Kluyveromyces lactis: one gene and its partner. The protein of the gene in region 1 purifies or fractionates together with the protein of each later gene. This does not show direct contact. Links are inferred from orthologs where the notes say so. Each region holds a gene or a part of one and is shown in the gene's direction. Other genes may lie near its edges.

The links. Proteins that work in one complex are often made in the same cells at the same time.
Region 2: the proteins of RPL3 (region 1) and RRP17 purify together in Saccharomyces cerevisiae (affinity purification with mass spectrometry; 3 studies listed by BioGRID). This does not show direct contact. The link is inferred for Kluyveromyces lactis from reciprocal best matches to the Saccharomyces cerevisiae genes RPL3 and RRP17.

The regions. Positions count from the first base shown.
Region 1 is NC_006042.1:1,520,278-1,526,161, forward strand, and holds RPL3 (60S ribosomal protein uL3), read left to right. Parts: upstream 1-3,617; coding exon 3,618-4,781; downstream 4,782-5,884. Other genes in the region: casein kinase 2 catalytic subunit CKA2, read left to right, coding at 1-545; KLLA0_F16489g (uncharacterized protein), read right to left, coding at 1,153-1,941; YNG1 (Yng1p), read right to left, coding at 5,038-5,709. UniProt on the Saccharomyces cerevisiae protein: Component of the ribosome, a large ribonucleoprotein complex responsible for the synthesis of proteins in the cell.
Region 2 is NC_006037.1:185,352-191,429, reverse strand, and holds RRP17 (rRNA-processing protein RRP17), read left to right. Parts: upstream 1-3,277; coding exon 3,278-4,009; downstream 4,010-6,078. Other genes in the region: carnitine O-acetyltransferase CAT2, read right to left, coding at 1-1,298; DFM1 (Dfm1p), read right to left, coding at 1,911-2,759; ERD1 (Erd1p), read right to left, coding at 4,056-5,210. UniProt on the Saccharomyces cerevisiae protein: Essential protein involved in ribosomal RNA processing.

The DNA.
Region 1 (5,884 bases):
ATTCGATGGGTATCATGCATCGTGATGTGAAGCCTCAAAACGTCATGATTGATCCTAATGAACGTAAGCTAAGGTTGATCGATTGGGGATTAGCAGAGTTTTACCATCCGGGAGTGGATTATAACATCAGGGTGGCGTCTCGTTATCACAAGGGACCTGAACTCTTGGTGAGCTTAAACCAATACGATTACTCTTTAGATTTGTGGGCTGTCGGATGTATGATAGCAGCTATTGTTTTCAAGAAGGAGCCATTTTTCAAAGGAAGCACGAATGCAGATCAATTGGTGAAAATTGCCAAGGTACTTGGTACGCAGGAGTTATTCTATTACTTGAAACATTACGGATTGGATCTTCCTGCAGAATACAACGATATCATGAAGAACTACGAACGGAAACCATGGAGCTATTTCGCCAATGATAAGACGCCGTTGGCTGTGGACGAAATAATTGATTTGATCGACCATTTACTACGTTATGATCACCAAGAGAGATTAACTGCAAAAGAAGCCATGGAGCATAAATTCTTCAAAAAAGATTTCTCATAGTGTATGCCTAAACGGTAATATATATCTGTTTTCTCATCTCTCTATCATCAAATTTTCTTTTCCCTCTTATCTTCCATTTATGGTTAACTTTGGGGGATTCTTCTTCTGTCTTTGATTGCTTTCCAATTAAAAGCATGTATACTAATAACATATAATTAATACAACACCTGAAAAAGAGGACAGAAACACATGTCTCTTTTGCTTAAGATTTAAAGAAGATGTAATATTATGATAGTCGTTAATTCATTAAAAAGGATATATAATTAATAGGTGTAATAGCTACCAAACCTGAAAGAAAAGGCTCTTACTAGCGCAGGCGCAGAGAGAGAGACACTACTATAAGTAGGAAAGGAAATAGACCAAAGGAATATGAAACAGGGTGGAAATAGTTACAAAAACCCATGATCGAAACTATTATTGCGGTGAAAGTTCAGTGATGAGAATTGAAAATGCCATTATTATTAGTCTATATTTCTCAATCACAGGGAAAAAAACAATCTTTTGGTATCAAATGCGTAAAGATCCCAGACCTTTGACGGATTTCGTGTAGTATGCTGTGTTAGTGGATGGGATTTTTTAAGAGGTCAGATTTCTTGGGCGAGTCAGATTACAGTTCCATTTCGTAATCTTCATCGTTTTCCTCGTCACTGTCGTGGACATCAAGAATGAAGCAATCCTGCCTCATAATCATTTCGTTGGCCCATGTATCGTTGATGGCACTAGTTCCATCATAAATGACACCACTATGATCGATCTCTCTTGTGCGAACACTATCATCGAACCTTATGTTCTTATTGTTCGAGTGGTGGGAGGGTGGAGAACCGAAGCCAGAAGAATTAGTCTTTACCAAAATAGGCTTGCTATTTTCAAAGATGGATGAAGCATCTGAATTGGTTGGGGAAGAAGAGTAATTGTTATACGATTGAGAATAAGACTCCAAGTCGGAGTCCATGTCCATAGCAGAGAACATAGAATCGGGTGACGATTTCTTCTTAGGAATCAACTGAGTAGCAGCAACACAATCATCCGATAACTGAGGCCCATATAGTACAGTCATATCATTTTCCTTATTCCAGTTAATACGTAAAGGATCGTACTTGTTTTCATTACCGTTCAACTGGAAGTTCTCCATCGACCAACGCCTCCATAGACAATGGTGTAGTCTTTTCAAATAGTAGTTATAATCAGATTCATCTTCCTGGGAACAACTAGGCAACCTGAGCACTTTATGTTTACCGACTTTCAATAAAACTTTCCAAGTCTCACAGATAGCATAAGTTTCTTGGAAATTGTGATGGAAATAATCGATAGCTGGCTTATTCAAATTCGTAACATTATCTAGCAGCAAAAGGTTTTTCCGGATAATAATCGTATCGTCCAAACTATTGGATATCATTGTAAAGGATATGTTAGATGTGAGTCGTTACTATCACCTTGCAGATAAGAAATATATTAGATGGTAGAAGAAGTAAATCAACAAACGGATTAATTGAACAAAGATACACTTATGGTGCTCTTATATATAAAAAAGCCTTCGACCTTTGAACAATAACTACTATTTCTTTTGTAGTTTGTTCAACCGTTATATAATTTACAAATCTTTTCAGAAAGAATATAATATTCAGATAAAGAGACACCAGGAAGCATGGAAAACTCGCAATATATGAATTTCAAGAACCCGGTATTTAACACGCCGGTGCACCGTTTCTTGTGGTCGAACAATTTGGACCGGAAAGGTGAACCCACTCCGATTTATCTAAGGTACCACAGACAATAGAGCTACAATACTATATTTCCAAGCGTGTCAGCAGTGTCAATTCAGAGTCATCCAACTGAGATTCCAACCAGACCCCGGTACTTTTCCCAGTGGTTGGTTACCTGAATCTAAAAGAAAAACAATATGGAGCTTTCACTGTAATTATTTGCAGAAAAAGAGAAAAACAGCCAAAAGAGGTTGCTCGGAAAAGTGGTTCTCCTTTCCGCAGCTAGAATGTGCAGTAGAAAACGGTTATTTTTCCAAAGAATAGTGGGGCGGGAATCCGAAAAAATCATAAAATTGTTTTTTCTTTCTATGGTTCTCTTAGAATCACAAGGGGGGACAAGAAGAAAAACATCTACGAGACCTATGTATTACCCGGGCTGATGCCCGGGTGTGTTTTCTTTTTCTTCGCTTATTGCTTTTCCTTTCGGAAAGATCTGTACGGGGCGACCTGTTGTTTCGATGGGGAGCCAGAAAAGTTTTTCCGACTGGTTGGAGAAGGAGATTTGACAGAAATAAAACAGCTTGAGTATCCAGCTCTAGCGGAGGTGCGCAGTGGGTGTCGTAGGAAGAAGCGGGAAAAACGGCAGTGTTGTTTTTCCGGGATTCGTCTCGTAAGGTTTTTCCGAATGGTGTGAGGAACAACTTGATGGTGAGACTTTTTGGAGATCTCAGTTCGTCACATTACGTAGTGGTAATAAATCGTGTTGATCTGCACACGTCTCTGTTTTTGTTGTTGTCGTTAGTGATTGATAACAGTTGAATGTAGTTTCACTGTGGTTTTCTTCTTTTCCGTGCATTTTTGTTTAATACTTGTTGGCTCCATCGTTGTGTCATTTGTTTACCATTTGAAAAAGATAGGTGCCTCCCGCCGTCATTTCGTCAGGACCAAAGGCGAACCGATAAATGGGGGGTAAACTGCGTTTCAGAGGGGAAAAACAGAAAAAAAAGAACAAGTCACGTGGGCGGATTCTATATGCACTGTTACCCCGTCTTTCTGTGATTTTTGTATTTTTACCTATGGACGTATCTAATGATAGTACTTTCTCCTATTTAAATCACCTTTCACGAACTTTCTCGTCTCTCATCTCCAAGCGATCTTGAAGAAAAAAATTTTTTTCACATCTCATCGCATCGAAGCTTGGACTATTTAAAAAACATGAAAAAATCAAGTGAAAAATTTTTAATAGTTCTTCATCTCATCATATGTAAAGTTGAAAGTGTTTAATGGTATCTACTTTGTTTATTTCCCTTCCCCATCGCAAAACTCTAGAACGGTAACCACAGCTCTAGCTAGTTAATATTAATACACAATGTCTCACAGAAAGTACGAAGCTCCACGTCACGGTCATTTAGGTTTCTTGCCAAGAAAGAGAGCTGCCTCTGTTAGAGGTAGAGTTAAGTCTTTCCCAAAGGACGACCAAACTAAGCCAGTTGCTTTGACCTCTTTCTTGGGTTACAAGGCTGGTATGTCCACTATCGTTAGAGACTTGGACAGACCAGGTTCCAAGTTCCACAAGCGTGAAGTTGTTGAAGCTGTTACCGTTGTTGACACCCCACCAATCGTTGTTGTCGGTGTTGTTGGTTACGTTGAAACCCCAAGAGGTTTGAGATCCTTGACCACCGTCTGGGCTGAACATTTGTCCGACGAAGTCAAGAGAAGATTCTACAAGAACTGGTACAAGTCCAAGAAGAAGGCTTTCACCAAGTACTCTGCTAAGTACGCTGAAAACGGTGCCCAAGTCGACAGAGAATTGGCCAGAATCAAGAAGTACGCTTCTGTTGTTAGAGTCTTGGTCCACACCCAAGTCAGAAAGACTCCATTGTCTCAAAAGAAGGCTCATTTGGCTGAAATCCAATTGAACGGTGGTTCTGTCTCTGACAAGGTTGACTGGGCTAAGGAACACTTCGAAAAGACCGTTGCCGTTGACTCTGTCTTCGAACAAAACGAAATGATCGATGTCGTTGCCGTTACCAAGGGTCACGGTTTCGAAGGTGTTACCCACAGATGGGGTACCAAGAAGCTTCCAAGAAAGACCCACAGAGGTTTGAGAAAGGTTGCTTGTATCGGTGCTTGGCATCCAGCCCACGTTATGTGGTCCGTTGCTAGAGCTGGTCAAAGAGGTTACCACCACAGAACCTCTATTAACCACAAGGTCTACAGAGTTGGTAAGGGTGACGACGAAGCTAACGCCGCTACCGAATTCGACAGAACCAAGAAGACCATCACCCCAATGGGTGGTTTCGTCCACTACGGTGCTATCAACAATGATTTCGTTATCTTGAAGGGTTCTATCCCAGGTACCAGAAAGAGAGTTGTTACTTTAAGAAAGTCCTTGTACACCAACACCTCCAGAAAGGCCTTGGAAGAAGTTACCTTGAAGTGGATCGACACTGCTTCTAAGTTCGGTAAGGGTAGATTCCAAACCCCAGCTGAAAAGCACGCTTTCTTGGGTACTTTGAAGAAGGACTTATAAACTCCTCAACTCTAATAGAGTCGAATTGAGTAAAAAGCTTTGCATGCTGTAATTTTATAGACTAGTTTTGGAGTACTCAAGAAAGTGTTTACACTTTCTTTCACTATCCCATCGGCTGGTTCATAATATTTCCTGTTGTTTTGACAACTATCTTTAAATATGAAAATATTAGCATTTGAATAAATAATAATTACACGCGCTTCCTTCTTGCAAGTTATTTTTCTGGAGAAGCACTGAAGAGCCTCCGCGGTCTTCATCAACGCTTTCTTCTCTTGCTCTTTTTCCGATGATTGGAGTACTGTTTCCTACACATGTCACTACAAAACCATTTCTCATTGGGTTTGGGTGCGGCTGATAATCCTACACAGGGGTAATGGAACCATTCGATGGCACAAGATTCATTATCACAAGCAACCATGGGTCCATACGACACATCTCTACAGAAACAGTACGTCTCTGTCTCTGGCTTGTGCGTCTTATCATGATTCACATGTTCTTGCTGAATCAGTTTCTGTTCCCTTTCTGCCTCTGGGTACCTTGATTTCATAGTGATCTTAATCTTGATCGGTTTGTGATGAGGCAAAGGTTTCAATTTCGGTTGTTTCTTCAAGTGACTATCGTACCTTGCCTTAATCTGAGAGAATCGCTCCAATTCTTGTTTTTCAAAATTGAGCCGTGAATGTTCTTGCCGTACTAACTCTAAGAGATGTTGCGCTTGTCGCAGCATCTCTTCTGAATGACATCCATCTCTATTAGTATCACCTATATCCAATGATTGTATAGTCCAGAGGGTGCGAATCACATCGCATGGTAAATGGTCCAGTGTACTGAGAAACCCGTACCTAACATCTTCCATTGTTCTTGAGCTGTTTCCTTCTAGCCGATTAACTAAGACCAGAATGGTCAATTCTATTCTAGGCGTTAGCATGTACTTACTCTTTCTTGAATGGCTTTTGCCATATGGATATGAATGGAAAGACGTTTTACGTTTTCCCAGAAGGAAAACATTCACGTGACAAGTCCCAGTCACGTGAATGACATTGATGTTTTTGGGATATGGAGTTCTGACCAATCACATCGAAGAACGTGCCGTCTTCTCATAA
Region 2 (6,078 bases), on another chromosome or scaffold:
AATGGTAGATGTTCACTGTTCACAGAAGGGTAAGCTGATACGTTGGAATGTAAGGACTCGACGAACGCTGAAGGATTCAATTTTGTTAATTGATCCACGACGTAATGGTTTAAAAACAAAGTTGGAGTACCATCCATTTTCGAATGTTCTGCCAAGAAACCGGAGAAACCGTTACCAGTAACAAAAAATTGCAAAGGCTTGTCAAAGAATCTATTGGTTCCGTCTCCGTGCCAGCACACTCTAGACTTATCTTCCAAAGTTATTGGAGCAGTGTCCTGATCCAAACATAAGACGAATGAGGATTTGTGGATGGTTTCTAAAGAGGAGGAAGATACTGGTTCTAATTGCAATTGTTGATAAGCGCCAGCCCATTCATCACGAGGAAGAGTTGTCAATGCACCGATTCCAGCGTTTGCATTGATCAAAGAACCCTGTGAACCCAAATGGTTGACAATTTGATTCAACTGTTGGTAGATTACTGCGTTGGACAAGACTGCCCCAGCTTTATCGTGTGTATAAACTTTGAAAAAATTATCCTTGTAGGCAACCGTCAAGTAGCCATGTTCATAGATCGAGTAAAAATGGTTCGTATCGATATTGAATTGAGGAACCCTTGAATTATTGAACATATATTGGAATCCGTTCATACAGAAAGGTTTGCCCTTCACCACTTCTGCTGGCAAGGCTTCATCTTTCAAGGATTCCACGAACTTCACCACACTAGAAATAATCGCCGTGGCCTTAACAAGCATGTCGCCATCGATGGCACGGTGACTAGTTGGTAAAGGCTTATGACCATAAAAATATGACACAAAAGGAACCACAGGTGACCTATCGCCAAGATAAATCTGACTATCCCATAGTTCTTGCATCCAGTTTCTCCGCTCCTGAGAATAACTCAACAACCGCTCCTGCAAAGCAGGGCCTTGGTCTGAAAGAAATGAGTAACATAACTGGATCTGTTTCTCATATTCAGCATCCGTCTGACAAAACGGTTTAATAGACTTCAAATATTTGTCCAAAGTCGATTTCAACTCCGGAATCGGTAAGGATGGCATATCCTGTTGTTTTGAGTAAGTGGCTCCTTTGAACCCAGGTCTCTTCTCCTGATAATACGAATTAGGTCTTTCTGCAATATACTCATCGTTAGTCCCGGTCTCAAAAGGGAACTTCTGATACCCCGAATACTGCATCTTACCAGACATCTGTCTCAATATAGAACTTTTCTTGTTACCTTGACCCATGCGTCTCATCCCCATACTAATACCAGCACTGCTTCTAAATGCCATACTTCTCATCGTCACTGTTGGTGTTGGTATTCACAACGGGTATTTAACTAATAAATAAAATAAATATCACAACAATTGAAACCTTTTATTCTATATCGTGTTCCGCTTTCTTGAGGATGATTTTGGTTGTTTAAACCGGCAAGGAAACCATTTTCGGAACAAACCTATTAAAAGCGAAAGGTGTCCTTAACTTCTGAAATGCAGCTATATATATACTAAATAATACTAGCTCATTTGTACATGGTTTTATTCATAAAAGGCTGAAACTCGAGAAATCCGAATTGCTGATCATTCATTACACAAGAGCCCATTCCGTTATATACGTCCGAACCGAGTGATCATCAACGAACCTGTACCAGTAACTCTCTGCAATCCTGTACCCAAGACGTGCTTCACCTCCACTCTTGGTCCCTGTGGTCATTCGTTTGCTCCAACACTTTTTGATCATCAACTATTTTCTCGCCATAACGGGCTTTTAGGCAGAACCATCATACAAAATCAATTTTCCATTGTCGACATATTTCCATTAAACCTGGGGTAAATAAAATAACACAAATGATATATACACAAGGGAGATGTAGATAATATAGATAACAGTATGTCGGATTATTAGTACCTTAATCAGTCTATTTTGGTCCCTAATCTATTTCCAGTTCCAGCGAAAGTGCTTTTCTTTAACGGGGTTCTCAACCTTCTTCTGGTCACGGGGTCTGTCCTGTTTGATGACGAAACGGGTTTGGAGGTGATGGATAGGACACGTCCTATCCATAGAATGATCGAGGAGAACCATCTTGGTGATCTGAAATGACCTCTTCCAGAGAATCCGTACGCTGGGTCCTTCCCCATCAGATAACCGTACAAGGGACCGTAAGTCCATGTGTCTAGGCAGGAGTAAACGTATCCAGCACAAAACCCGACCATTGTGACGCAAAACCTGCTGTAACCATCGGTCCCGTCATCAAATAAGAACGAAACGAAAAGATGCACTAGCGATAGATATTTACCCAAGATTGGGAATAATCCGTAGAACATTACCTTCACGTTGCTGTTGTCCAGAGTCCACGTATATAGGATCATTCCTATGAATGCGTTAGTGAACACTGGGTATGAGATCTGGCATGCTTCTACGAGCACGACGATCAATGCAAAGTTGAAACATATGTAAAACAAATAATCGATGGATTTGTTGCTGAAGTGCACTAATTCGAGATGTAACGATTTCGAGTATACTGCGTATAGGTCGAAACATGCTTTCATGGCATCGTTTGGTAAGATGAGGAAACTAGTGAACAACCTCCAGATTTGGAACTTGAACAATACACCACGTAAAGACCATTTGAAATCGCTGAAATAGTACGGTAATACGTTCAAGCGTTGGATCAAACATATTAACACCATTAAGAGACATATTCCTCGGGTCACCGGTGGAATTTGTCCTACAAACTGTATCAATTCGTTACGCATAGTCATGGCTGCTATGAATAATCACGCGTATCGTATATCCCACTGATGTTACTGAATGGTACCTCCGGTGTCTATCTTGACAGCGCATCTGTATAGTGAGTATAAATATCTTTCTTTCACTGCAACTTGGAACTGAAATTTCATAGAACCCGAAAATTAAAGCTATGGGAAAGACATAGATAGGAAAGCACAGAATGACAGAAATTGAATAGTTAAGTAATGATCCTCTACACAGGTATACGCCTAGATTTGTTTTCTACTTAGTGCATGGCAGAGCATATGAATTGGTCTAGATAAATTAGGTCAGGACGGCTAGATTGCCCTTATGCAATCATGTTATAGTTATCTATGTATTTCTTTCTGTATCTCGAAGTTTCAATATTTGGAAAAAGCATTAAAACGGAAAAACTTGCTGATGCGATGAGCTGAAGAAAGCAGATAGGCTTTTCACTTACTGAGGTGGTGCTGAGACCGGTTCAAGTTCTGCAGAAGATACAGAGTAGCAGTGTGGATATAGAGTGAAAATGGTGGCAAAGAGTAATCGTGAGATTCTTACCGGTGGTAAATCTTACAAGCAGAAAGCTGCTAAGAAATTCGGTGCTGATGAGGTAAAGTTCGATAAGGACTCACGGTTGGAATACTTAACTGGGTTCCATAAGAGAAAGCTTGATAGACAAAAGAAAGCCAAGGAGTTCATCCAAGAGCAAGAGAGAAAAGCTAGGCTCGAGGAAAGGGCCAAGATCAGAGCAGATAAAAAAAAGGCTCTTGAGAAACAGCTTGAAGATTTTAAACAGGCGATGAAAGATGTCGGTGATTATGTCGGTGTAGAGGACGACGACGAAGAAGCCGAAAATGGGAAACAGGGAAGCGATGAAGAGGCTGAAGAATGGACGGGATTTTCCGATGATAACGGAGATGCAACTGAAGAAGAAGAAGAGGATTCTGACTCTGTTAGTGTGAAACCGATCTTAAAGAAATATGTACAGACTTACTTAGATGATACTACGGTAGACATCGAACCCTTAGAGCCCAATGACAATTTTGAGTACCTTGCGGAATTAAATAATGTGAAGTTAGAGAAATCGGAACAAATTTTAGATCAAAGCATCGAACGTGCGAAGAAATATGCAAAGTTTTTGGGAGTTGAAGAAAAATCTGGTAATAAGAGTAAAAAGAATAAGAAGTTCAGATACTTGACCAAGAACGAGAGAAGACAAAATCAAAGAAAGGCCAACAATAATAAACGTAGGAAGTAATTAACCTTTTTTTTTTATTTATTATCTTCCTCTCTTTCTAAACATCTCATTCATCCATTTTCCCCCCCTCTGTTGTTGCAATGTATTCTACCTCGACTTTAAAGAATAACCAAATCCATCTTCTGATTATCTCTAAAATTTGTAACCAAAAGATGTTTAATTCCCCATAAAATACAGAGTGCCCACTGATATACTCCCAGAACCATACGAATCTCAAAATAAAATCGAGCGCCATAGCGCTATAATACCACGCATTTTTCCGGTACAACAAAATGCTTCTTAAAAGACCGTCCGCTTTGTTACTACTATTATTGTTATTGACACTAGTGTCCCCATTCACAAAATCGAACAGCTCTAGTTTCCAATCCATGGTCACATCCCACCAGAATGAATACGCGGAATTCCAAAACATGAACCAATACATCATTCCAAGTGGGCCCAGGTTGTAATATCTTGTATAGACTGTAACTAGCATGATAGGAATATTACCAGCATACTTAAAAGCATTGAACAATTGTGAACCATCTTTCTTCTGAGACCTTCCTCTTGTAAATTCTCTTAACGATTGAATCATTCTGACCAATGAGGGCAAGACTCCAACAAGTACGTCAATGTTTAACGATATAGCATTTTCATATCTTTCCACTTGACACTTGACGTTTGTTGGATCATGGAAAAGGAAAGTGGCATAAATAGCTAAATCCACCAATGGCTTAGAGTACGAGGTCAAAGTATCACTAATTATAATATAGTTATTCCTATACGGCTTTGGTTCAATGTCAGCTACCCAAAGTATTCTTTTAAAGCACCTTGCGACCATTGCTGATGACCTTAATATCATTGCAAATATGTAAAACAACTCCAGTAGTGGTGAAACATTCAAAAAAAACCAAAGCAATTTGTTGGATACGTTATTAGTGAAGGAGTATTGGAATAAGATTATACATACCAATTGCCACGGTATAATGACTCTAGAGATTGACTTGAACAGTTTCAGGCTTGATTGGTGTATTTTCGTGGATGTGTTAAAGTAAGGTAGTCCCGTGGACTCATTGGATACAATTACTTTGGACACGTCGTAGTAGGATACTGATACCTTCAGGAACCATGTCCATAGCCATAACCCTAATAACACAAGGACAACAACTCTCTGTGGGATCGGTAGGTAAACCAGAAAGGGTTCAACAGATTCGGCGTCCATGAATGCACGTATAAATAAGGAATCAAAAAAATGTAACAAAAAAAGGAGGAATAGAAGCAGAAGAAATCCCTTTCAGAAAGGCCCTGTGTGTATCGCTAACGGTTTAGATTTGTGGTTCACTGTCTCAGAGCTCTGTATAATCTAGGATCCTACGTTTTTAGTCCTAAGATAACACTTTTATTTCTATTGACATCTTTTCAAGACGTGTTTACAATTCAGATACCGGCACCAAAAATAAAAAAACACACACTACCGAAAAGCACAAGTTACAAGTACAAGAATGGAACAGCTAATGCTATATATAAACGTATTCAGGACTGTTAGAGATAACAAAAAGCGTGTTTCTAATCCTTTAAAATTTTGAATTTTATTCATGATTAGCATGGAAACTTTTAGTTCATCATTAATAGGTCTATATATTTAAGATAGAGAATGCCGAGTAATCCACTGACACATCTAACGTACACTTCGACTACCCGAATATATCCGGAAATGAAGAAAGTCAAACAAACAAGAAGATATAACTTGTACTGTATTGCCTGGACAGTTTATTTTAATAAAGTAATCGATTGATCAGAATTTTCAGTGTTTGGCTAATGCTAGTCGAATCGTTCATATTTTCGAAATCCGTTTGGGGCGACAGCGGTCATCATAATCGATATACTCAAAAAAAAAACAATCCAAATGATGGTATTTCCATACAGACAGTCATTATCTTCGTCGTTCCTTTTACTTGTTCATTTCCCGACATGAAGAGGAATTTGATTTCCGTTTGAGTTCAGTAAAAAAGACAGAATACGTTGCGAACAGGAACTCCTGTTCCTGATACACTACAAATCGAATCCTTGTTGGTTATGTCTCTAACTCT